Linked DNA regions of Oryctolagus cuniculus. The protein of the gene in region 1 purifies or fractionates together with the protein of each later gene. This does not show direct contact. Links are inferred from orthologs where the notes say so. Each region holds a gene or a part of one and is shown in the gene's direction. Other genes may lie near its edges.

The links.
Region 2: the proteins of COPS4 (region 1) and DDB2 purify together in Homo sapiens (affinity purification with mass spectrometry; 7 studies listed by BioGRID and IntAct, counting the BioPlex papers as one, with this or other methods). This does not show direct contact. The link is inferred for Oryctolagus cuniculus from reciprocal best matches to the Homo sapiens genes COPS4 and DDB2.
Region 3: the proteins of COPS4 (region 1) and CUL4B purify together in Homo sapiens (affinity purification with mass spectrometry; 9 studies listed by BioGRID and IntAct, with this or other methods). This does not show direct contact. The link is inferred for Oryctolagus cuniculus from reciprocal best matches to the Homo sapiens genes COPS4 and CUL4B.
Region 4: the proteins of COPS4 (region 1) and DTL purify together in Homo sapiens (affinity purification with mass spectrometry; 3 studies listed by BioGRID). This does not show direct contact. The link is inferred for Oryctolagus cuniculus from reciprocal best matches to the Homo sapiens genes COPS4 and DTL.

Annotation. Positions count from the first base shown.
Region 1 is NC_091439.1:82,814,195-82,820,886, reverse strand, and holds the start of COPS4 (COP9 signalosome complex subunit 4), read left to right. Parts: upstream 1-2,619; 5' UTR 2,620-2,856; coding exon 2,857-2,930; intron 2,931-6,692. UniProt on the Homo sapiens protein: Component of the COP9 signalosome complex (CSN), a complex involved in various cellular and developmental processes.
Region 2 is NC_091432.1:18,715,540-18,721,521, reverse strand, and holds part of DDB2 (DNA damage-binding protein 2), read left to right. Parts: intron 1-2,683; coding exon 2,684-2,829; intron 2,830-4,004; coding exon 4,005-4,104; intron 4,105-4,192; coding exon 4,193-4,370; intron 4,371-4,626; coding exon 4,627-4,769; intron 4,770-5,952; coding exon 5,953-5,982.
Region 3 is NC_091453.1:98,256,392-98,261,103, reverse strand, and holds part of CUL4B (cullin-4B), read left to right. Parts: intron 1-42; coding exon 43-215; intron 216-2,262; coding exon 2,263-2,415; intron 2,416-4,512; coding exon 4,513-4,608; 3' UTR 4,609-4,712.
Region 4 is NC_091444.1:26,582,747-26,588,728, forward strand, and holds part of DTL (denticleless protein homolog), read left to right. Parts: intron 1-1,885; coding exon 1,886-1,998; intron 1,999-5,982. UniProt on the Homo sapiens protein: Substrate-specific adapter of a DCX (DDB1-CUL4-X-box) E3 ubiquitin-protein ligase complex required for cell cycle control, DNA damage response and translesion DNA synthesis.

The DNA of each region.
Region 1 (6,692 bases):
GAGAGAGGAAGTGAGCTCTTCCATCTGCTGGCTCACTCCCCAAATGGCCACACCAGCCAGGGCTGGGCCTGGCAGAAGCTTCCTCTGGGTCTCCCACCTGGGTGCAGAGGCCCAAGGACTTGGGCCATCTTCTACTGCTTTCTCAGGCTGTAGCAGAGAGCTGGATTGGAAGAGGAGCAGCCAGGATTAGAACCGGCACCCATATGGGATGCCAGCACTGCATGTAGAGGCTTAACCTTCTTTGCCACTGTGCTGGGCCCTATATTCTGTTTTGTGGTGTGCAGTATTACCTGATTCTGGAATTGAAAATAAAGCCAGGGGCCGATGCATGGCTCACTTGGTTAATCCTCTGCCTACAGCGCCGGCATCCCATATGGGCACCGGATTCTGTCCCAGTTGCTCCTCTTCCAGTCCAGCTCTCTGCTGTGGCCTGGGAGGGCAGTGGAGGATGGCCCAAGTGCTTGGGCCCTGCACCCGCATGGGAGACCTGGGAGAAGCACCTGGCTCCTGGCTTCGGATTGGCGCAGTGCCACCGGCTGTAGCGGCCATTTGGGGAGTGAACCAGTGGAAGGAAGACCTTTCTGTCTCTTTCTCTGTCTATAACTCTGTCAAATAAATTTTTAAAAAATTAAAAAGAGAAAGAAAATAAAGCCAAATAAATCTAGTTTAAACCAGATTGTCCTTAGACACAACTGAATGAGAAGTTGAACTCTTTCCTTAGGGAGGGAGTATGTTGTCCTGTGAAGGACACAAAGATTTTTAGGTGAACAGAACAGATCATAGCAGTAACTACTGTTTGTACCACTATGTTCACCCTTTCCTTTTCTTTGTGAGCACAAGGCAACACAAGGGGAAATTAAGTTTCCAGAATCACTATTATTAGGCATTCTTGCCAGTGGAATGGGATCTGAATTGATGTGGGCAATTTCCACTTTACTTTCTTAAAAGGAATTTATTCTGGACTTTTTTTTTCTCCTTTGCAATAGAGGAAATATGCCAATTATCACATCTCGAGATGGCAAAAAGTTCAAAGGTTTGAATTTTGTAGGCAAGACTGTAAGACATTGCACTCTTAGATACTTCTGGTAGGAGGGCAAAATGATAGCATCCCTATCAAGTGAAACTTTACAATATATATCACAATTTTAAGTATGTCTCCTTTGAGTCATTTCTGGGAATGTGTTTTGCTGGTACATAATTCTATATAAAATGATGTACAGGAAAAGTTATTCATTGCAGGAGTGGCTGTTTGTTCTGGCAGTTAGGATGCTCAGATCCCATCCTGGAGTGCCTGGGCTCCATCCATGCTCTGCTCCTGGCAATGCAGACTCTGGGAGGCAGCAGTGATGTCTCAAGTGGTTGGGTTCCTGTCATCCATACAGGAAAGTCTGGACTGTGTTCCTGGCTCCTGGCTTTGGCTGGAAACGGGAGTTTACCCTGTGTCTCTCCCTTTCTTAAAAACAATAACAATAACTACAATTATAATGTCTCACTCCCTAGACTTAAATGTCCTATAAGGATTAAGTAAATTTTGGCATACCTTCACTAGGTAGTACTCTCCACCTCTAAAACGAATGACTTTTAAGATGGGACTTAGGCCAGCGCCATGGCTCAATAGGCTAATTCTCTGCCTGCGGCGCCGGCACACTAGGTTCTAGTCTTGGTCGGGGCGCCAGATTCTGTCCCGGTTGCTCCACTTCTAGTCCAGCTCTCTGTTGTGGCCCGGGAGTGCAGTGGAGGATGGCCCAAGTCCTTGGGCCCTGCACTTGCATGGGAGACCAGGAGAAGCACCTGGCTCCTGGCTTCAGATCAGCGCGGTGCGCCCGCAGCGCGCCAGCTACAGTGGCCATTGGGGGGATGAACCAATGGCAAAGGAAGACCTTTCTCTCTGTCTCTCTCTCTCACTGTCCACTCTGCCTGTCCAAAAATAATAAAAAAAAGACTGGACTTAAATGGTAAGATCGCCAGGAAAAGTGAAAAATTCAAGAGCAGAACAATGAAACAATGTGCTTCTCATTGTAAAAGGAAGGAGATACACAGATTTCTACTTCTTTCAGAAATTCTCTAGGGATTTATAGAATATATATATATATATATATAAAATACACATTATATATAATAATACATGTTTTATATAATACATATATATAGAATATATATACACACATATATAAGATACATGAGTGATGAATGCAATCACCTATAAAGGGCGAGTGAACATATACTTTGTCACTCAGATGGAGTCGTTTCTAGAATGAAAAGAGGTGTTAATAAATACCTCAGGACACCAGACTAAAAATGGTACTGTCCTGGACACATGGGATGTATGATCAAACATTAAAAAAGATACCTGGTGTGTGTGTGGGGGTGGGTGGGACGCGGACATTTTTTATCTTATTTTTAAAAAGCACTGGTCTGTGGTGAATTGGAAATAAACAAAAAACTCGCCCTTTACCACACGTAGTTTCAGCGCTGCCTTAACGAACGAAGAATAAACCATAAACGTGAAACACGGACCTTAGCGCAAACGCAGTAGTTGTACGTACCGAGCCCTTACTGGAGCTGCACAAGCGACACACTCCCTTCAAGTTCATCAGCCAATCCCAAGTCGGAGCGTGAGAGCCAGCGCCTGTGGGAGAGGCCAGGGCGGGCCTGGGACGTGAGGAGTGAAGCGCCGTGTCATTCAACCCGGAGGGCGGAGGTAGCTCAGGTCCCGCCCCACCCACTGACGCTCTGGCCCGCGTAGGGGCTACTCTGTGGTATCCTTGGTTCTCTCTGGCCCCACTCCGGAGGACCATACTCGTTTTCTTTGAGGCTGTGAGGGGCCCCCTCAGCCAAGGCTGAGGTGGAAGAAAGATGGCGGCAGCCGTGCGACAGGATTTGGCCCAGCTCATGAATTCGAGCGGCTCTCATAAAGATCTGGCGGGCAAGTGAGTGTTTCCCGAGAGCAAGAGAGTGGGGAAGAGAGTGGGGAAGGAAGCCATAGTTCTCCTTGGGCTGACCGCCACCCTCGTGTTCGAGGCCTGACGACCGAGGGGGCGGGCCTGAGAGCGGCTGGGGCGGTGAGTGTTGCGGGGACCGGACCTTGTGCAGAGGCTCAGGAGGCCAGGGGCGCGGGGTGACTGTCAGCGTGTCCAGTCCTCCGTGGCGTCCTTCCTGGTCCCTCTGCATTCGGGAAGCGCGGTCAGCGGGACGACTGCTCCCCGGGCCTCCGCACGCTTCCCTGGTGCTCTTTCCCGTAGCGGCCTGGCCGCTCACCCCCCGGGCTGGCTCTGGATCTCTTTCCCTCTTTTAGAATGAGGGAAATTTCTATGCTGGCGTCTCGATGCGGAGTTTTCCGGGGCAGATGGGCTCTCGGGGTTCACGGGGACGGAGGAGGCATGGCCGCTGCCCTGTGGTCCGGAGCCACTCAGACCATCTTTGCTGGGTCCATGTGTGTTGGGTGCTCTCCTCGCCAGCAGCCTGAGGAAGGCGGAGTGTTCTGCCATCGTGGCTTAGCATCCTAAGTATTGATCTTTGCAGGAATCTGGATTGTGTAGGCATTTCGTCGAAGTGTTTGTAGACTACATAGGTTCACCGCCTGTTAGAATGTGTGACCCGTGCTTGTCCCGCAGGCGATTGCTCAGCAGTGTTAGGGATAGGTAGGCGCCTGTCGCCTCCGCTGCCTTTGCAGATTTGACAGCACTGCTCGTTTGTAAGGAACATGCTTTCTGTTTATATAAAGTAGGCTTCTCAAGTCGAACCAAATATTTACATCCTGACAGCTGAGATCACCTGCTTTGACCTAGGCATTGACATTGCTACTTTTTTTTTTTTTTTTTAACTGTAGGCTGTGCTGCCTTTTTTTCTGGTGGTAAATGTAATCAACTTATGTGGGTGAGCAGGACAGCTGTATATCGCAGCTTTACCTACTTTGCTGCATTTCTCGCTGAGGGAAATGGGGCTAATAAAAGGACTTATTCTTGTTTGAGTTTGCCTGAGGACAAAAATGAATATGTGCATATACTCATATATGAGGGAACATGGAATTTGTGGGAAAATGAAATTATGGATTTATTTTGGTGCAGAAGTTCCTGAGAGAAGAACTTTTTAGTATGTGGAAACTGTTTATTGTGAAAAGACTGCATGGATTTCTTTTTTTTTTTTTTTCCTTTAATTGTTTATTTGGAAATCAGTTACAAAGAGAAAGGGAGAGACAGAGGGAGAGAGATATTCCATCTGCTGGTTCACTCCTTAAGTGGCCGCAATGGCCAGGGCTGGGCCTTTCTGAAGCCAGGAGCCAGGAACTTCATCACCCAGGGGGGCAGGTGCCCAAGCACTTGAGCCATCTTCTACTGCTTTCCCAGGCGCATTAGCAGGAATCTGGATCAGAAGTGGAGCAGCCAGGACTCAAACCAGCACCCACATGGGATGCCAGCACTATAGGCAGCGGGTTTATTTGCTATGCTACAGTGCAGGCCCCAAGACTGCATGGATTTCAAAAAAATTTTTGCACTCAGATAAACTCGTATTTTTAATTCTATTTTTCATGAGCCTTTTGAAGTACCTTCATATCTACTTATTATACTTTTATCACCTAGAACAGTACCTGACACAGAGAAAGTGCCATCGAATTGTTGTTACCACTTTTAAGTAATCAGTAAAAATACACATGGACTTTTCCAAGGGTTGTAATAAGCTGAATACATCTTCATGACTAATTCCCTTTTGCGTGTAATTTTTATAAATTTGGATGAAAGTAAAGCAGCTTATAATTCCCCCTGTGCTTGCTTTAGTTTTTATTTTGTTGACTAAAAATAAGTGCAGCAGTTATTAGAAGACGTAGAGCTTTCTGAGCACTTGTGTAGTTCTGAAACTTCCGCTCAGTATTTGCTCCCTCAGTTCAGAACTGGAGCTAAACAGCAGAACCTGTTTTATAAGGTGCTTCAGTTATCTGTTTTCAAGTAACAAATGAAAAAGTTAGTGGTGTTAATCAACTTACTACTTCTCAGGATTCTGTGTGTTGACTGGGCTGTTTGGCTGGTCTTGTCTGGACTTAGACATAACCGGCAGCTCAGCTGGGGTTGGCCCCATACATATCTGGCTGTTGGCTAGATCTTGCTCTCTGCACGTATTCTCTCAGTCAGTAATTTAGGGCTTTCTTTTATGGCTCTGAGAGTGTTTGAAGAGGCTGTGAATAGAAGCCATAAAATCTTAAGGCTTATCTGGGTAGTTTTGCAGTACTGGTCAAAGTAAGTCACAAGACAGTCTACATTCCCAAGGAGGGGAAATGGAGTCTACCACTACCTCTTTTTTTCCCTTAATTGATTAATATACTTATATTCATCTTATTTGAAAAGCAGAGACAGAGAGTTTTTTTTTTAAAGATTTATTTTTGGCCGGCGCTGTGGCTCAATAGGCTAATCCTCCGCCTGCAGCACCGGCACACTGGGTTCTAGTCCCGGTCGGGGCGCCAGATTCTGTCCCGGTTGCTCTTCTTCTTGTCCAGCTCTCTGCTGTGGCCCAGAAAGGCAGTGGAGGATGGCCCAAGTGCTTGGGCCCTGCACCCGCATGGGAGACCAGAAGCATCTGGCTCCTGGCTTCGGATCAGCGCGGTGTGCCGCCGCAGCGGCCATTGGAGGGTGAACCAACGGAAAAGGAAGACCTTTCTCTCTGTCTCTCTCTCTCACTGTCCACTCTGCCTGTAAAAAAAAAAAAAAAAAAAGATTTATTTTTGAGAGGCAGAGTTAGAGAGAGTTCGAGAGATCTCCATTCGCTGGTTCACTCCCCAAATGGCCACAACAGCCTGAGCTGGGCCAGGATGAAGCCAGGACCTCCATCCAGGTCTCCCACGTGGATATAGGGGCTCAAGGACTTGTGCCATCCTCCACTGTTTTCCCAGGTGCATTAGCAGGGAGCTGCATTGGAATTGGAGCAGCTGGTGCTCTACTGTTATCCATATGGAATGCTGGCTTTGTAGGTTGCTTAACCCTTATGTTTCTATTTGCTGATTCACTTTCCAAACGCCTGCAATAGCCAGGGCTGGTCCAGACTGAAGCCGAAGTCAGGAGCCCAAAATTCCAGTCAGGTCTCCCACATAGGTGGCAGGGACTCAAGTACTTGAGCCATCATCTGCTGCCTCTCAGGATGTGCAGGAACAGAAAACTGTGTTGGAAGTGGAGTAGCTGGGACTCAGGGCTCACACCAGGCACTCTGCTATGGGTTGCAGGCTTCCCAAGCTGTGACTTCTGCCATTGGGCTAAATACCTGCCTCCATACCACTACCTTTTTAAGAGCAAAAGTTCACATTGTAAAGGGCCACGGACAGAGGAAGGTATGAGTCACTGGGAGCCATTACTTTAACATTGAACTATATGGGCTTATTGTGGAGATGACATGAAATAATGTGGTAACTGAGCCAGTGCCACCTTAGGGAGCAACTCCTATGGAACTGCTTTCTGAAACAAGTCTTGGCCTTACCCTTAGCTGTATTGGGTAACAATGTGTCAGGATATTTATCCTCATAACAAAACAGTTCTACCAGCTATATGCTTTATGAAAGAAATACTCTTGAACTGTATCAGCGATTTTAGGGTTTAAGAGCTGTGTACAAAGCATTCCATATTAAAGAATGATGGTGTACACTGGTTTCCAAAATAGTGATACTGTGTGTTCCTAACAGTTAGCAAGGTATCTGTAACAGTCATAGTTCT
Region 2 (5,982 bases), on another chromosome or scaffold:
TGTCTCTCTCTCTCTCTCACTATCCACTCTGCCTGTCCAAAAAAAAAAAAAAAAAAAAAAAAAAAAAAAAAATTATATCTTTAGCAACTGATACTGCCTTTTTTAAAAAAAAAAGTTATGATAGCAAACAATATAACATTTACCGTCTTATGTATCTTCCATCCACTGGTTACTATATTACCTATTTTTAAGTGCAGTTTGGTAATTACTTATTTTATTTGAAAAGTGGAGCTACAGAGAGAGAGAGGGAGAGAGAGACACACACACAGATCTTCCATCCACTGGTTTGCTTTCCAGACGTCGACATGAGCTGGGGCTTGAGCAGGCCAGGTTGGGAGCCAGGGACACAATCCAGGTCTCCCATGTGGTGGCAGGAGCCCAGTTATTTGAGCCATCACCACTGTCTCCCAGTGTCCATATTAGGAAGCCGGAATCAGGAGCTGGGAGCCTGGAATTAAAGCCAGGCACTGCAGAGTGGAAATGCAGGCATCTCGGCTGTCATGTTACCCTCTGGGCTGAGGATCATTTTATTTGTGAGCTTTAGGAGATCTTTTATATGTTCAGAATATTACCTCTGAATCAAATATACAATTCTCGAGCCTTTTTTAGTTTCCCCCCTTCCATTCTGGATCTTTTCCATTGATGCCTGATTGATTTTTCCTATTTAACCAAACCTGGCATTATTGGAATGAACCCACTTGGTCATAGTGTGTTTATCCTTTTTAAATGTCACTGGATTGAATTTGCTGATATTTTATATAGGACATCTGTATTCTCTTCATATGTAAGAGTGGCCAGTACTTTGATATGTCCTTGTCAGATCTGGGTAACAAGGTTATACTGACATCATACACTTGGGAATTATGCCCTGTTTTCTAGTCTGTGGAGAGTTTAAGAGTGGTATCTCGGGGCCAGCGATGTGGCACAGCGTGTTAAAGCCGCCGCCTGCAGTGCCGGCATCCCATATGGGTGCTGGTTCAAGTTCCAGCTGCTCCTCTTCCAATCCAGCTCTTTGCTATGGCCTGGGAATGCAGTACAAGATGGCCCAAGTCCTTGGGCCCCTGTACCCACGTGGGAGACCCAGAGAAGGCTCCTGGTTCCTGGCTTCGGATCAGCGCAGCTCCAGCTGTTGTGGCCATCTGGGGAGTGAACCAGCGGATGGAAGACCTCTCTCTCTGTCTCTACCTCTCTCTGTAACTCTTTCAAATAAATAAAATAAATCTTAAAAAAAAAAAAAAAACTCGTTAAAAAAAAAAAGAGTGGTATCTCTTCCTCTTTTTCATCTTCTTCCTCCTCCCTTTCCTTCCTGAACAGTCGAAACCAGAAGTCATTAAATGGTAGACTCAAGCAGGACCAGTATTTACATAGTGGGGAGGCCTCGGTGGTCTGGTGGCAGCCGAGACGGACATCAGTGCGGGTGGTGGCAGGTGGCAGCTCAGCAAAGATTCAGGGCTCCCAGACTGGGTGACAGGTAGAGGGAAGGTGGTGGTGGACCGGCATGGAGTAGTGGAGGCTGATCCAGCGGCGAGAACAGATTGTCTTACAAGCAGCAAGTCTTGGTAGGCTGTGAGCACTGATGCCGATGGTGTTAGAGGGATGGAACCTGTTGACGTGGTTGTTGGATAGGAGACCTTGCCCAGGTCTATGAGGCCAGGGTAGCATAAAGAGGAGTGAAGGAGCTCTGAGAGAGTGAAGTGTTTAACAAAACAGTGTGTGGGATATAATAAGTACTTACTGTGGCCCAGCCATTGGTAGTGTGGTTGTTTTCGTCTTCCTTGTCTGCAAAAGCAGGAAGGGGGACGGATCTGACTCTTGCCCTCCTTATCCTGCCGCCAGTGCGAGCTGAAGCTCTTCCAGAAAGAGCGCGTGGGAGCGGCACCCTGGCACAGCCGTGCCGCACTGCGCTGCCTCAGCAACCAGTGGCAGGGGCTCCGAGGCCGCACACTATGCACGCATTTCTTTCTTTCTTTCTTTCTTTTCTTCAGATTTTATTTTTTATTTATTTGAAAGGCAGAGTTACAGAGAGAGGGGAGACAGATCCTTCCATTTGCTGGCTCCCTCCCCAAATGGCCACGATGGCCAGGGCTGGGCCAGGTGGAAGCCAGGAGCCAGTAGCTTCTCCCAGGTGTCCACATGGGTGCAGGGGCCCAGGCACTTGGGCCATCCTCTGCCGCTTCCCTGGGCGCATTAGCAGGGAGCTGGATCAGAAATAGAGCAGCCGGGTCTCGAACCGGCGTCCAGATGGGATGCCAGTGTTGCAGGCGGAGGCTCACCGTGCTATGCCACAACACCGACCCTGGGACTTGTCTGTGATATTCTGTGCAGGCAGCTCTAGTGTTGGGGAACAGATCAGTGGGTGCCAGAGGTTTTGGGGTGAGGGGGAGAGTGTGACTACAGTGGGAAAGCAGAGCACTAGGGAGTTTTGGGGGTGATAGTGTGTTCTACATCCTGATTTTGGTGTTGGTTATTCAAATCTGTACATGGGTTAAAATTCATAGATCTGTATACCAAAAGTAGTATTTATTGTGTGTGAATTTTAAAAAGCACACTGTGGAGACAGCACCTTGGGGTCTGGGTGTCGGGACCGACTGGCGTTTGTGTCAAAGCACAGTCCACGTGCCCAGGCCTGGTTCCTCGCTTCCGGCCCCTCATCACTCACTGGCTTTTTCCTTCCTCGTGTTAGATTGGAGCTGGAGGGAGCATCACTGGGCTGAAGTTTAACCTTCTCAATACCAACCAGTTTTTCGCCTCCTCAATGGAGGGAACAACTAGGCTGCAAGACTTTACAGGCAACACCCTCCGAGTTTTTACCAGCTCAGACACCTGCAAGTGAGTAGCCGAACTAGCATGGCAAGGGCTTCCAGCTCCAGGTGTAGTCCTGGCGAGAGCATCCTGACCCCGCTTCTGTTACCTGCACCTGGCCAGGAGGAACGAGAAGGCGTTCGCCACTTTCCACCCTTCCCTCCCTTTTTCAAACTCTGGCTACTCTGACTGCCGTCCAGGTGGGCTCCTGCTTTGGGAAGGTGTTCTGGAGCCTCGGCTCTTCTCGGCTTTTCTCTAAGTCACACCTGTGTTAGGCTCGACCTTGGCTCTCACGAGACAAGTCAACGTGGTGGTGGCCCAGGGTGGAGCAGGCACTTAGGACTTCAGACGCAATTCCTTCTGTTCGTTGGCGGGTGAGGAACTCACCAGTTCCTTGGTGGAAGCTTCAGTGGATCCAGTAGTGTCCAAAAAGTGCTCCGGGCTCCCCAAGAGCAAGGGGCTGGAGGAATTAAAAATGCAGGTCCCTCCGCGTTCTAGCCAGAGACCCAAGTCTACCTGCTCCCTAAGGAGTTAGGTGAGGGGCGGGGTCTGACAGCTAGCACTGGGTTTCCTGGGCTGCCCCACAGGGACAGGTGACTGGCTAGACTCAGCTCCATGTTGGTCTTCCACAAGAAACCCTCTCGCTTAAAGATCCTGAAGGGGAACGACCAAAAGGCAGACTAGCGTGGCTCTGAGGGTTTAGGGGAACAGATGTGCATCTGGGCTGCAGGTCGTGTGTGCTTTACCCTAACTGCTCAGAAGGGGGCAGACATTTCTTTCCGGCCAGCTCTGAGTAGCACAGCGGGGCAGTTTCTGCTTGGCGTGTCTTCTCCTTTAGCCCCAAGGTGGAGAGGGAAGGCAGAGAAAGGAGACCGAGGTTCTAGCAGCTGTGGGGCCCAGCTAGCCAGGAGGCTTGCCTTAGGGCCCGAGGTCTCACTGCGTCTGGGACTCTCCCTGGCTCAGGACGCTAGGCCCGGCAGAGACTGGACACATTTTGGAGCCCCCCTCACCCTCATTCCCTCTGTTTGGCTGGTAGACAAGACTGAGTGTTCTTCCTGGGAATCCATGGTAAGACAGATACTTCATTCATTCAACAAATATTTATTGAGCGCCTGCCGCGGGTTAGGCCCAGGAGCTGCAGCAGTGAGTTAAAGGACCTGTCTCTGGCCCCAGGAATCTCACAGTACAGTCTCTCCTTCCAGCGTGTGGTTTTGCAGCCTGGACGTGTCTGCCAGAAGCCGAGTGGTGGTCACAGGAGACAACATGGGGCATGTGTTCCTGCTGAACATGGACGGTAAAGAGGTGCGTGCTCTGAGCCCTGGGCGCGCCTTCCCTCCCCTCCCCCCACCTCAGTTCTCTGTCCCCAGCTGAGCCGGGCTCTCCTCTGCAGCTCTGGAATCTCCGAATGCACAAAAAGAAAGTGACCCATGTGGCTCTGAACCCGAGCTGCGATTGGTTACTGGCCACAGCCTCCGTAGACCAAACAGTGAAAATCTGGGACCTGCGCCAGGTTAGAGGGAAAGCCAGCTTCCTCTGCTCGCTGCCACACAAGCATCCTGTCAACTCAGGTGTGAACCCCACCTGTCTCAACACTCCGGGGCCTCCTGGGAAGTTTGGAAGCTGCTAGGCCGACCCTTTCTCCCCAGTGTCTCAGATCTCCTGTGGGCTACTGAGTTTCTAGAATTCTTCTGCTCACAGCCCTGGTTCACCTCTGCCCTTTCCCCCCATCTCAGAGGTGTCAGAGGGAGGGCGCCCCCGCGAGAAGCGGCCCGACGGGGGCGGGGCTTCCGGTTTCTGCAGCTTAGGTGCTTGTCACTTCCCCAGCCTGCTTCAGTCCTGACGGAGCCCGGCTCCTGACCACGGATCAGAAGAATGAGCTCCGGATTTACTCTGCCTCCCAGTGGGACTGCCCCGTGGGCCTCATCCTGCATCCTCACCGGCACTTCCAGCACCTCACTCCCATCAAGGTGAGTGACAGAGTGACGAGAACGCGCAGAGGGAGTGGAGAGCGTGGGGACGGACCAGGTCTGCCCAAGGTGGGGAGGGGGCAGGCGTGTGAGCCTGCAGCTCCAGACCTCTTCTTGCCCCAGCAGACAGTCTCTCAGCCTTTCGGCGCTCTCTGTTCCTTTTATGCCACGTTTGCAAGTCCAGTTGGTGGGGCCGTCTTTGTCTCTCTGAGAAGCTGTCTCCCTCAGGAGTTTCAGCCCAGCCCTGACCTGTGAGCATGTGCAGAATGCTGAGCTTCTGCCCTGCCCTCTCGGTTTCAGTTACCCGTGTGTGTGGGTCCACAAACTAACCTTCACCTTCTTAGTTTGTCTTGCAGGTTTAGGTGGCTTCTAATAATAGAAATAAGTCCCTTCCTTTCCCATTTTGGATCTCCGTTTCCTCATCTGTAAAAAGGGAATAATAGTATCTAACTGATAGGGTTGTTGTGAGGATGAATCAGTGTACTTAAAGCACTTGGCACCATGCCTAGCACCGGGTGAGTACTCAGAAAATGATGACCGCTTAGTACCGCACGTACCTCAAATCATATCCAAGCACCTACTAAGGAATCCCAAGAATCCTTCCTCAGCTGGTGTTCTTGTTAATCCATCTGTCCTGATCTGCCGCCTCGTATCCAGCCAGGCCAACCCGCCGTCTGTGATTAGTGGTACCATTTCTTCCTTCCTGCTAACCACATCTTTGCTCCTTCAAAACTTCCTTGAGAAATTGTATCAGGAAAATCCCATCCAATTTGTGATTTCTGGATGAGTGGGGTAGGCTGGGCTACTGGAGTTCCTTTCCTTTTTCAGTCTTGAGTGATTTTACACACAGCTCCTGATTATCCACGCTGACGGAGGGGTGGCAGTGGGGTTACTTCAGATTTCTGTCCTAAGTAGTTCTGATTACCACAGGCCGTTCACTTTGTTGTAGGCCTACCTGTTAACGCCTAGGCCAGGTTGATGTTGAAAGCGGCAGGAAGTGCAGGAGAGAAGGCCTCAAGGTGTCCAGGGGCCAGGGAGGCCAGCGGGGGATTAGAAGTCTGCAGTTGCACGTGGGTCGCAGCGCCTCTGTTGCGGTGTTGGCTTGTTAGCAGCAAAGAATGGTTTTGATGTCCCTCGAGGGCGTTCTGTGTTTATTCCCCTGACTAGCCTCTCCGTCTTACAGGCAAGCTGGCACCCTCGGTACAACCTCATT
Region 3 (4,712 bases), on another chromosome or scaffold:
ATGAGGTAGTAACAAATAACTAAGCTGCTGTTTCTTCTTCAGAGGATGGAGAGTTAAGGAGAACATTGCAGTCATTAGCCTGTGGAAAAGCTAGAGTTCTGGCGAAAAATCCAAAGGGCAAAGATATAGAAGATGGTGACAAGTTCATTTGTAATGATGATTTCAAACACAAACTTTTCAGGATAAAGATCAATCAAATCCAGATGAAAGAGACGGTATTTTTCACTTTCTTTTAGTCTTAACTCATTGGAATTACACATGTTCATGATGGAAATGTATAAAGAATATTTTCTTTTTAAAATGTAATTTTTCTTGTACTTAATTTTTTTTTTCATTTTATTTGAAAGGTAGAGAGACAGAGGAATGCTGGTTCACTCTTAAAATGCCTGCAACAGCCAGGGCAATCCCAAGCCAAAGCCAAGTGCCTGGACCCAATCTGGATCTCCCATATGGTTGGCAGGTACCCAAGTACTTGAGCCATCATCTGCTGCCTCTCAGGGTACATAGCAGGAGGCTGGATCCAAAAGTGGATGAATCGATACTCAAATCAGACACTCCTATATGGGGTGCAGGTGTTCCAAGTAGTGACTGACTTAAACTACTGCATAAATGCCCACCTCTAAAAAGTATTTTATACCAGTAATACTAGCAGTACCATTAACATTTTCTGTACCTGTATCTAGCTGAATATGTTTCAGTATTTAATTTTGGGTTTTTTGTTGTTGGAGGCTGCACATGATTGGTTCAGGCTTTCAGCAGTTTTATATCCTGTTAAGAATTTTTCTGTGCCATTAAATTCCTTAAGAAATCACAACTGGCTTTATAATAAATACTCTTTGACATGGCTGGCCACTGTTCATTATTTGGCAGTTAAATTTATCACTTTTTAGCATTACGAATGAATAATGCTGTAAGAAACATCTTTGTACCTAAATCTTAATCTCTCTGATCCTTTCCTTATGATAAATCCATGGAAGTCGATTTCTTTGGATCAAAGGGTGTGAATATTTTAAGAGTCTTAGTGCATAAGGTCATATTGTATTCCAGAAAGGCCAAACCAATTTATACTTGGACCAGCAACATATGAGTGTCTATCTTGTTATGCCCTCCCCAACACTAAAGATTAAATTTTCTTCTTTAGATTTGTCAATTTGCTTGGTGAGAAATCTGAATGATTTAGTTAGTATTTGTTTTATTGACAGTGGAGGTGAATATTTTATTTTGGCATTTGAATTTGCAAGAGATTTTTATTAAGGAAACCAAGTGTAGCATTCTGAAACCAGTTATTCAGTTCCAACAATGTGTAATGCAATATTTGAGAAACAATTTTAATGTGGGACAAGGATAAGTATCTTCAAAAAAGTTCCTGTTACATTTACATAGGCATCAGAGGAATGATACTCCCTTAAAGGATTATCATAACCTTACTTTTTAAGACATTTATGCTATGGAGTTGGCATTTGGTGCAGTGGTTAACATTTCTTGGAACACCTACAGTCCATATGGGAGTGTCTGGGTTTGGGTCCTGGCTCCTGATTCCAGTGTCCTATTAATGCACACTGTGGAAGGCAGCAGGTGATGGCTCAGGGAGTTAGGTCCCTGCCACCCATGTGGGAGACCTAGATTGAATTTAAATGAAAAAAATTAAGCTGTACTAGAAAGAAACTGCTGCAACAAAATCTAAACTTTTGGTTCAGTTACTAAAGGTTGTCATTTTTAATTTTGCATCAAGTGTGATAAACTGCTAAACACTTAAATCTCTGTTAGTCTTAAAGGAATGTAAGCATTAATGGCATGCATTTCTGGTTTATATATTACAAAATAAAAGTTAATTGTCAAAGAACTTGATGCCAACCAGTTTACTTAGCTACTTAATACCATGATTTGAGACAGAAGTCAGTCAGTTTATAGATGAGATACTGTTATACAGAAATCTGGTCAACAACCCCTTGTAACTGACATATTTAGAAGAGAGTCAAAGAAAATGGTAAATTCTGTCTCAAACATCCTTACTTCCAGAAAAGTAGTTCAAAGATAGTATTTTCTGCTAAGTAATGTTGGCATTACTTCATTGATACAGGGCAATATAATTAGAAAGGAGCTATGTTTGCAGGGTTTTTTCTGTCATCATCTGTAAGGTCCCATTTAGATAATTCAGTATATTTAAAGCAGTGAGTGGTATGTCACTAAAATGTACAAATTTGTATAAGTAATCATGTTTCACTTCAGGTATAATTCTTAAATTTAAAACCCTCTTGTTAGGTTGAGGAACAAGCAAGTACTACAGAAAGAGTATTTCAAGACAGACAATATCAAATTGATGCTGCAATTGTTCGAATTATGAAGATGAGAAAGACACTTAGTCACAATTTGCTTGTTTCAGAAGTGTACAACCAATTGAAATTCCCAGTAAAGGTAGGTATTCTGTGTTTTCATATTGAGCTTCTTATAAAAGGATACATTAAATTTTCAGGCACAAATCCTGTAAGCATAGATGAAAGCCTCAAGAGCATTTGGTGAAACAAAAGTATTTCCCATGCTGATGCATATGATTCAGGAAAAAAATTGTTGGCATAGGGGCAACTGTGAAAAAAGGGGACAACAATTTAGTAAAACTCTCAAACTTGTAAGTTTAACTGCTAAATGAGTTGTTTAAACTTTTTTCATTCACTATTTTCATTTGAACTTCTTTCTTATTTCTTTTCTCCTTGAAATACCTTGATATTTGCCAGATGTCATTATTTTAGATAGAGTCAAATCTGTTGGTTAGGTTACATTAAGTGTCTGAACTGTGTACAGACTGGTATCGTTTTGAAAATTTTAATGATAGTTCTGGTCAACTGAAATTGGTTGGTTAATGGACATATTCCAAGGTAACTGCCCAGTAATGAAGACATATAGGGTGATATTGTATTGGAATATTGTGTAAGTTCCAGAATATTTCCAAACCCTTGTGTTGATAAACTCTTGATAAGAGTTTTAATAGACTCCTGGCTATTAGGATTTCTATAAACTTTGGACTTTGATATATCACTTCACCTGAGCTTGTTTCCTCTTTTGTAAAATGTTGCTAATAGTAGTACTTACTTTATATAATTATGAGGTTTTCATGAGATCCTGAATATGAAAAATTCAGAACTGGACCTAGCATATAATCAGCCCTCAGTAGCTATTTTAATTAAGAGGTTTTTTTTCTCTCTTCCAAGCCTGATACTGTCACCTCATTACAGCTCTGTCACCCTCATGCTCTGCCTAACAATTACTGCACCTCTAGCCATAGAGATCACTGATGCTAGGGAAGTTAAGGGATTGCTTTCCTAAAAAGACTGTTCTGGTATTCTAGGTCTTTTATTATAATGAAGAGAAAATCATTTTATTGAACTTTAAGATTACTGGATAAAAATTATGACTAAAGTTTTGACTGCCCTATCAGATTCCTTTCCCTTTCATTTTACATATTATGAAAAATTTAGTAGGCAAGATGATACAGTTGACCCCTCCATATCTGTGGATTTCACATGTGCATATTCAACCAACTATAAATAAAAAAATATTTGAAAGCAGTGGGGCTGTACTGAACACGTACAGACTTTATTTCTTGTCATTATTCCCTAAAAAATGCAAAATAGCAGTTATTTACTTAGGATTTATACTGTAATAGATATAATAAGTAATTTAGAGTTGATTCTAAAGTATATGGAAGGATGTACATGGGTTATATGCATATATTACACCATTTTGTATAAGGGGCTTGAGCATCCTTGGATTTTGGCATGAGGGCAAGGGAGGATCCTAGAAGCAATGCCTGCAGATACCAAAGGATGCCTGTACTTTTTATAGTCTAGACATACACTCAAGCATATAGTTGAATTTTGTCATCTGAGAGCTAAGAATACAGTCATGAAGGCAAACTGTCAAGATTTATTTTTATTTATTTGAAAGAGTTACAGAGAGATTCAGAGATCTTCCATCCATTGATTCGCTCCCCAAATGGCTGCAGCTGCCTCAAACTGGTGCTCATATATGATGCTGATGGTGGCTTAACTCATACCATAACACTGGCCCCCATATTTTAAGTTAATTTATAAAAATTAAACTTAACTTGCAGAATTAGCTTTTGCCCAAAGTAAAAGTGGATTGTCCTCTCAAACTATCTCAGCAAAACTAAATTTCTGATTTCTCAAGCTATAATGTATTCCTCATGTGAAATTCTGTTATGTTTAGTCTTTTGTATTTAACTGTGCAGGGAGTAGCTGGTTCTGGGAAGATTTCTTTAAAATAAAATAGAAAATGTTGCAAAAGTGTAGCATTGTAGTATATGTATAAAATACTTCTTAACCTGATTTTTATTATATTTTTCTCTAAAATAGAGATTTAAATAATATGAACAGGTAAGATTACATATATTAAGTCAATAAACCAAAATTTTCTTTTTTTGATGGGGCATGTTAGTAAGTGAGTTTGAGCCAATGATCATAAACTTTGCATTGAAAATTTGCCTTCTCTTAACAGCCTGCTGATCTTAAGAAGAGAATAGAATCCTTAATTGACCGGGACTACATGGAAAGAGATAAAGAAAATCCAAACCAGTACAACTATATTGCATAGATGTTGACCTTGGCACACTTGGGGTCCTATGCAGTAGCCAGTGATAAACTAACCTGTTGATCCTATATTATCTGACTCTGTTTTTTATTACCAATGACCAAACG
Region 4 (5,982 bases), on another chromosome or scaffold:
CTAAAATATGATGCACTGATAAATAAGAAATCTCAAAATAGTACAGAACCTAGGTTATTTTAGTTACGATTTTACAGAACTTTCCAGAGATTTCCCTAAGCAATCTTATCAGGTCTTATCTGTGGCAGCATCACAGTTGACATTTCCGATGCTTTGGATTAGGTCTAGTGTTCTCTAAACAAGAGCAAGAATATTTAGAAAAGTCAAAAGGTTTTAGTAACTTATTTTGCTATTTTCCCTAATGAAATCAAAATGTGAGATCTGCTCGTTTTGTTAGTCCTAAGAAATATTTTTCCGAATTGTTCCCCATAGCTAGTGTCTAATCTTGATCATGTTTTCAGATGTGCAAGAGTGGTTTCTATATAATTTTCCTTACAGTGTGGCATTAAAGGGGCCTTGAGTTTAGTTTGTCCCTATGGAAATAAACATTCCTAACACTTTAGTAACCTTTTCTATGCTCCTAAAACAATTTGATTTGCTCTCACAGATTGGCAGTAGGTGGGTGAATAGGTAGACACAGATTTGTTCTTTAGAAATTTAATGACGGGGCATGGAGTGGAGGGGTTATATGTCTAAAACATCTAGTAATTACTTGTCTTTTTCAAAACTTCAGAAAAGGTCCCGGATGTGATACTTCTTATTCACCGTTTTACAGTAAATGATGTTCATAAGAGGATTTCTTTACCAGGATTTGAAACATTTCCAAGTGTGATGTACTTCATACCAATCTTTCTTAGACCAGTAGAGGGCAATAAATACTTAGAGGTTTAGTGAGAAATGCAGTCTATAATGTTCCACTCATAGTTTAGTGTTGAGGAAGATGAACAATTGCAGTTTTGGGACAATGTTCCAAATAAAGAAGACTGCTTATTTTGCAGAGGATTTTTTATGATGGCAGATATATATTATGTATGTCTGTTGATTCATACGCTGCTTTACTTTTATAGTAAAAATGTCTGATATGGAAAGTATGTAATAGGCAGGCATTTTCTTTGAAAGCTATAAATACAAAAATTTTCAGTTTTATTTTAGAAAAAGGAAGGTGTCTGTGGACTTATGGAAAGCAGAGAACCTTAGCAATTCATTCTCCTTGTTAAAAGTTGGAGTGACTTTTTTTTCCTGCCTGAATAAATCCTTAAATTCTCCAATAACAGATTTTTCTCTTATGTTTCCTGAGGCAGAGGCCTCAGGTTTTGACTTCTTAGGATAGAAAAACCTGTCAGGAGTGCATTGTGCTAGATTTTTATATAGATTATTATTACTTGCCCTTTTGCCATGGAGAGTGGGAAGTCTAAACCTGAAGCTAACCTAACATTGTGTTTTATAATTTATTTAACTAGCTATTCTATCATACAGTCTACATTAAGTGCTGGATATAAGAGCCCTCCATTTTAGTAAAGCTACTGTAACTCTTACTCAAATGGAACAAACGTTTGAGGATTTACTGTGTTCAGAGCACCATAGGTCTAGTGAGGAAAGAACAAGATGTGAAATTTACACTTAGGAAGCTTGAAATCTGAAGGGAAACAAATTTAATATATCAGTCCAATAGAAAATACCTACCTAGGGTAGCAAGAAAGGGTTTAATTTTTGTTTTATAAACAGATTGAACAGTGCGTGCATTCTTTTTCTTTAAGTATTTTTTCATCACTTAGTATAGTCATATCAAGCATGTAGGTTGAGTTTATAACACTGGGTATAATATAAAGCTGCTTTCTATTATTTTTGCCAGTATCCATTTATTTCCCTTGTTGAGTAAAATTTGACCATCTGCTTCAATGGTTAATATAGTGATAAAACTTTTTAGAATATATATACTATAAATAATGTACTTGTTTGAACACTAGGAATAAAAGAACCAGATAACTTTTTTATCCTCTTGCAGTGGCTGTTTTCAATGGACACCAAAACTCTACCTTTTATGTAAAATCCAGTCTCAGTCCAGATGACCAGTTTCTACTCAGTGGCTCCAGTGATGAAGCTGCCTACATCTGGAAGGTAAGTTGCCAGACTCCCCCTACAAATGCAAAACTGAAGTGTTCTTGGAAACATTTCTGCTGTCTGATACAAGGTACTTTTAATGTAAAATATGTACTATTAGCTTCTTCCACATCAGATGTAGGGATTGCTACTTGATAGCTGAAACGTCACTCTCTCAGAGACTGTATGATACTTTCATTTTCATGGCCAAGGTGTATCCCAAATTGATAATCCATATTCTCTGTTCTACATGTTACCAGGAAAATAATTGTAACTCTTAAAGTGACAACTCTGAACTAAGAAATATAAAGCTTTCAGTTTGAAGCCCTAGGGAGAAAATGTCCTGGGGGAAATATTTAAAAAAACGAAAGTGGTTTCTATATACGTAGAGTTGCAAAAATGCAACATGACCTTATTAAAAGCTTTCTTTCAGTGACAATATCCTAAATGATCACAAGGTGGAGATATTGTTCTAGCCTAGATGCTTTTATGTTGGGCCTGCCTGTTAACAGTGCTTGTCACTAGCACTAATGCTTCTGAGTTCTATACTAAATTTTGAATTTCAAATTGGTCTTATGCTTCTTATTTTGCTAATTTTTCGCTTTTCCTTTATCTTTCCCTCATTATCATACCTACATTCCATTCTTTACTTTAGCTTCCAACTTAACTAGAGAATTTTATTCCTATTACAAGTCTTTATCTTTTGAAATTTCTTGTTCTTTGAAACAATTTGAATTTCAGACATACCAAAAAGCATAATAGGGGATTGTGTAGAAAATACATATGTACTGGTAATTCTATAAAATCAAGTTACATCAGTTTTTAAAATTGTACATATGCATAATTACATATATATTTTGTGCACACACAAGGGTAGTTCAGAATGTTCATGGAAAATGCACATTATCTTTTAATTCCATTTTTCCACAAACTTCTTAAAGTACCCTCATATATATGTTGTGTATTATAAATACATACATATATGTATAGTTTTCTTCCCAATTCTTAAAATTTCTCTAGCATAAAAACCTTTTTAAAATTTTGTTTCAGGGAATGAGGGTTGAAGCTATACTTCTTCCCTTTGAAGACACTCACAAAAGATATTTGGCTGTTGTTTCTAACCCATATTCAAACATTTAGTCAGTGGCCACCATATACATGAGTGACCGTTTGAATTCCTAGGCTGGGTCACATGTCACAGCTGAATGACGTGGTTAGACATGATGTTCTCCTGCCTGTCCACACATAACTCAGTGTACAGGCCCTGATATTTGAGATCCTGGCAAGCTTACTGCTCCTAAAATTGAATTTGCCTAGTGAGGTTGCTCAGTTTTTCTTTTCCATGCTAAAAGGGGGGAGGAGAGGAGTTTTAAATTATAAGCAATTTGATACAAACTGATGATCCTTGCTGTTAGATTGTCTTACAACTTTGCTGCATGTTCAAGAAATTAAAATTCTTTTAAGCATTAGAATTTTTTCTGTGCTACCAAGTCCATGGGCATAAGAAAACAAGTGAAAGAAGGAAGGCGTGTATCTTAGGACAGGAAAGAATGGCCTTTTAATTCTTATTACAACTTCACTAGGGGGAGATGTAATAAATTTACATTCTCAGGTGCCAAGGCCCAATATTAAAAATACAAAGATTTAATATGCTTTTTAATTTCCTACCCATTGTCCCACACCCCACCCCCTTTTCCCTGGTTTGTTTCTAATGTAGCCAATGAATAGTACTGAAGTGGCTATAAATAAACTGATTTGGCACAGTCATTCTACCGCTGACTGGCGAAACACTGAGCCTGACACTTTAGGAAGTGTAAATGATCTCATGGCAAAAATAAAGATTAGATTTGGTTTCCAACTGGGCACAGTAAGAGGTTTTGTGAGGAAAAGTGCTGATCGTTTCTACATGTTTAAGTCTTTTTTTTTTTTTTGAGGTCTGTACATTAAGAGTCATTTACCTCTAGAGCTACCTTCATAGCTGTAACTTTGGGATTTCTTATGCCATGAGGTTTTTGTTCTATAAAAAGTAGAATATGTGAAAAAAGGACAGTTTTTCCTCTCCATCCTCCTAGTACATGGATGTCAGTTCCTGGGACTTCATAGTCTCCTTCCGTCTTAAGGAAAGGCGGGCTTTAAAGATGAAATCATGTATAATAACAAAGTGGCAGTAAATGAAAACTTAACAAATGAAAACAAAAGATTTAAAGTCCACCTGATTTTTATTAGAGGAAATTAATCTTTGAAGGAGTCGTGAAGTGCTATACCATAGGTTAGTCCTAAACTATCAAAGTGCCCATGAGTAAAATTCATAAAAACTTACTAGATAGGTTTTTCATGCCAACCTACAATTTTCTTCCCCCACTTTTTTCTTATTGATATAGAATTCATGTAACATCAGATTCGCCAGCCTACTCATTTTAAAACAGACAATTCAGACGTTTTTAGTATAATCAAGTATAATCATCAAGTGCAGCAATCACCACTCTGATTCCAACATTTATCACACAAGAAAAAAACCTCGTTCCCTTTAACAGTGACTCTCCATTCTCTTGCCCTCAACAACTGCTAACCTACATTCTATCTCTGATCTTGCCTGTTGCAGACATTTCATATAAATGGAATCATAAAATATGTGGCATTTTGTCTCTGACCTCTTTTGCTTAGCATAATGTTACCAAGTTTTACCCATGTTACAGAGTTATCAGTACTTCATTCCTTTTTATGGTTGAATAATATTCCATTGTGTAGATGGGTCACATTTTATGTATCTGTTCATCAGTTGGTGGACATTTTAATTGTTTCCACTTTTTGAATTGATAAATAAAAGTGCTGTGAGCATTTGTATATAAGTTTTTTGTATGGACATGTTTTCAGTTTTCGTGGGGACATATAGCTAACAGTACTATTGCTAGGCTGTATAGTAATTAATTCTGTGTAACTTTTTTAGGAGCCTTCTCTGTCACTTTTAAGGCTGAGTAAATTGCCCAGCTGGTAATATTCAATCAACAATTGGCTTTCATTATTATTATTAATAACTTATCAAATTATAAAAAAATTTTCCAAGTGTTTCTTTTTTCTCTAAAATCCCTATGGATTAATTGTTCATAGATTGTGTTGATGGACATATGATTTTTCTTGAAACATTTTATTTATTTATTTTTAAATGTATTTGAAAAGCAGAGTTACAGAGAGAGAGAAGGAGGGAGAGACAGAGATTGTCTACCCACTGGTTTACTCCCCAAACGGCCACAACAGCCAGAGCTGGGCAAGTCCAAACCCAGGAACCAGGAGCTTCTTCTGGGTCTCCCACATTGGTACAGTGGCCCAGGACTTGGGCCATTTTCTACTACTTTCCCTAGAGCATAAGCAGGGAGCTTAATCGTTTTGGGAGGTAGTACTTCTTGTACTTCTTTCTTTTTTCTTTTTTTTTTTTTTTTTTTTTTTTTGACAGGCAGAGTGGACAGTGAGAGAGAGGGACAGAGAGAAAGGTCTTCCTTTGCCGTTGGTTCACCCTCCAATGGCCGCCTTGGTCGGCGCGATGCAGCCGGTGCACCGCGCTGATCCGATGGCAGGAGCCAGGTATTTATCCTGGTCTCCCATGGGGTGCAGGGCCCAAGGACTTGGGCCATCCTCCACTGCCTTCCCTGGCTACAGCAGAGAGCTGGCCTGGAAGAGGGGCAACCGGGACAGAATCCAGCACCCCGACTGGGACTAGAACCCGGTGTGCCGGCGCCGCAAGGTGGAGGATTAGCCTAGTGAGCTGCGGCGCTGGCTGAGGTTGTACTTCTTACTGTGCTGATTCCTGCAAAGGGGATTGACATCTCTAGGGTGACTCAGCTGTACAACGCTGTGAAATGCATTTTACTGGTGTCATGTGGTGATGGGAAAGGCACATTCTTAGTCATATGTACAGGACAGCATGATGTGACCCTTCTTTATGAATTAAACTGTATTAAAATATCGTAAGACTTAACTTGAAAATTAAAAATTTTTAAGCAAATT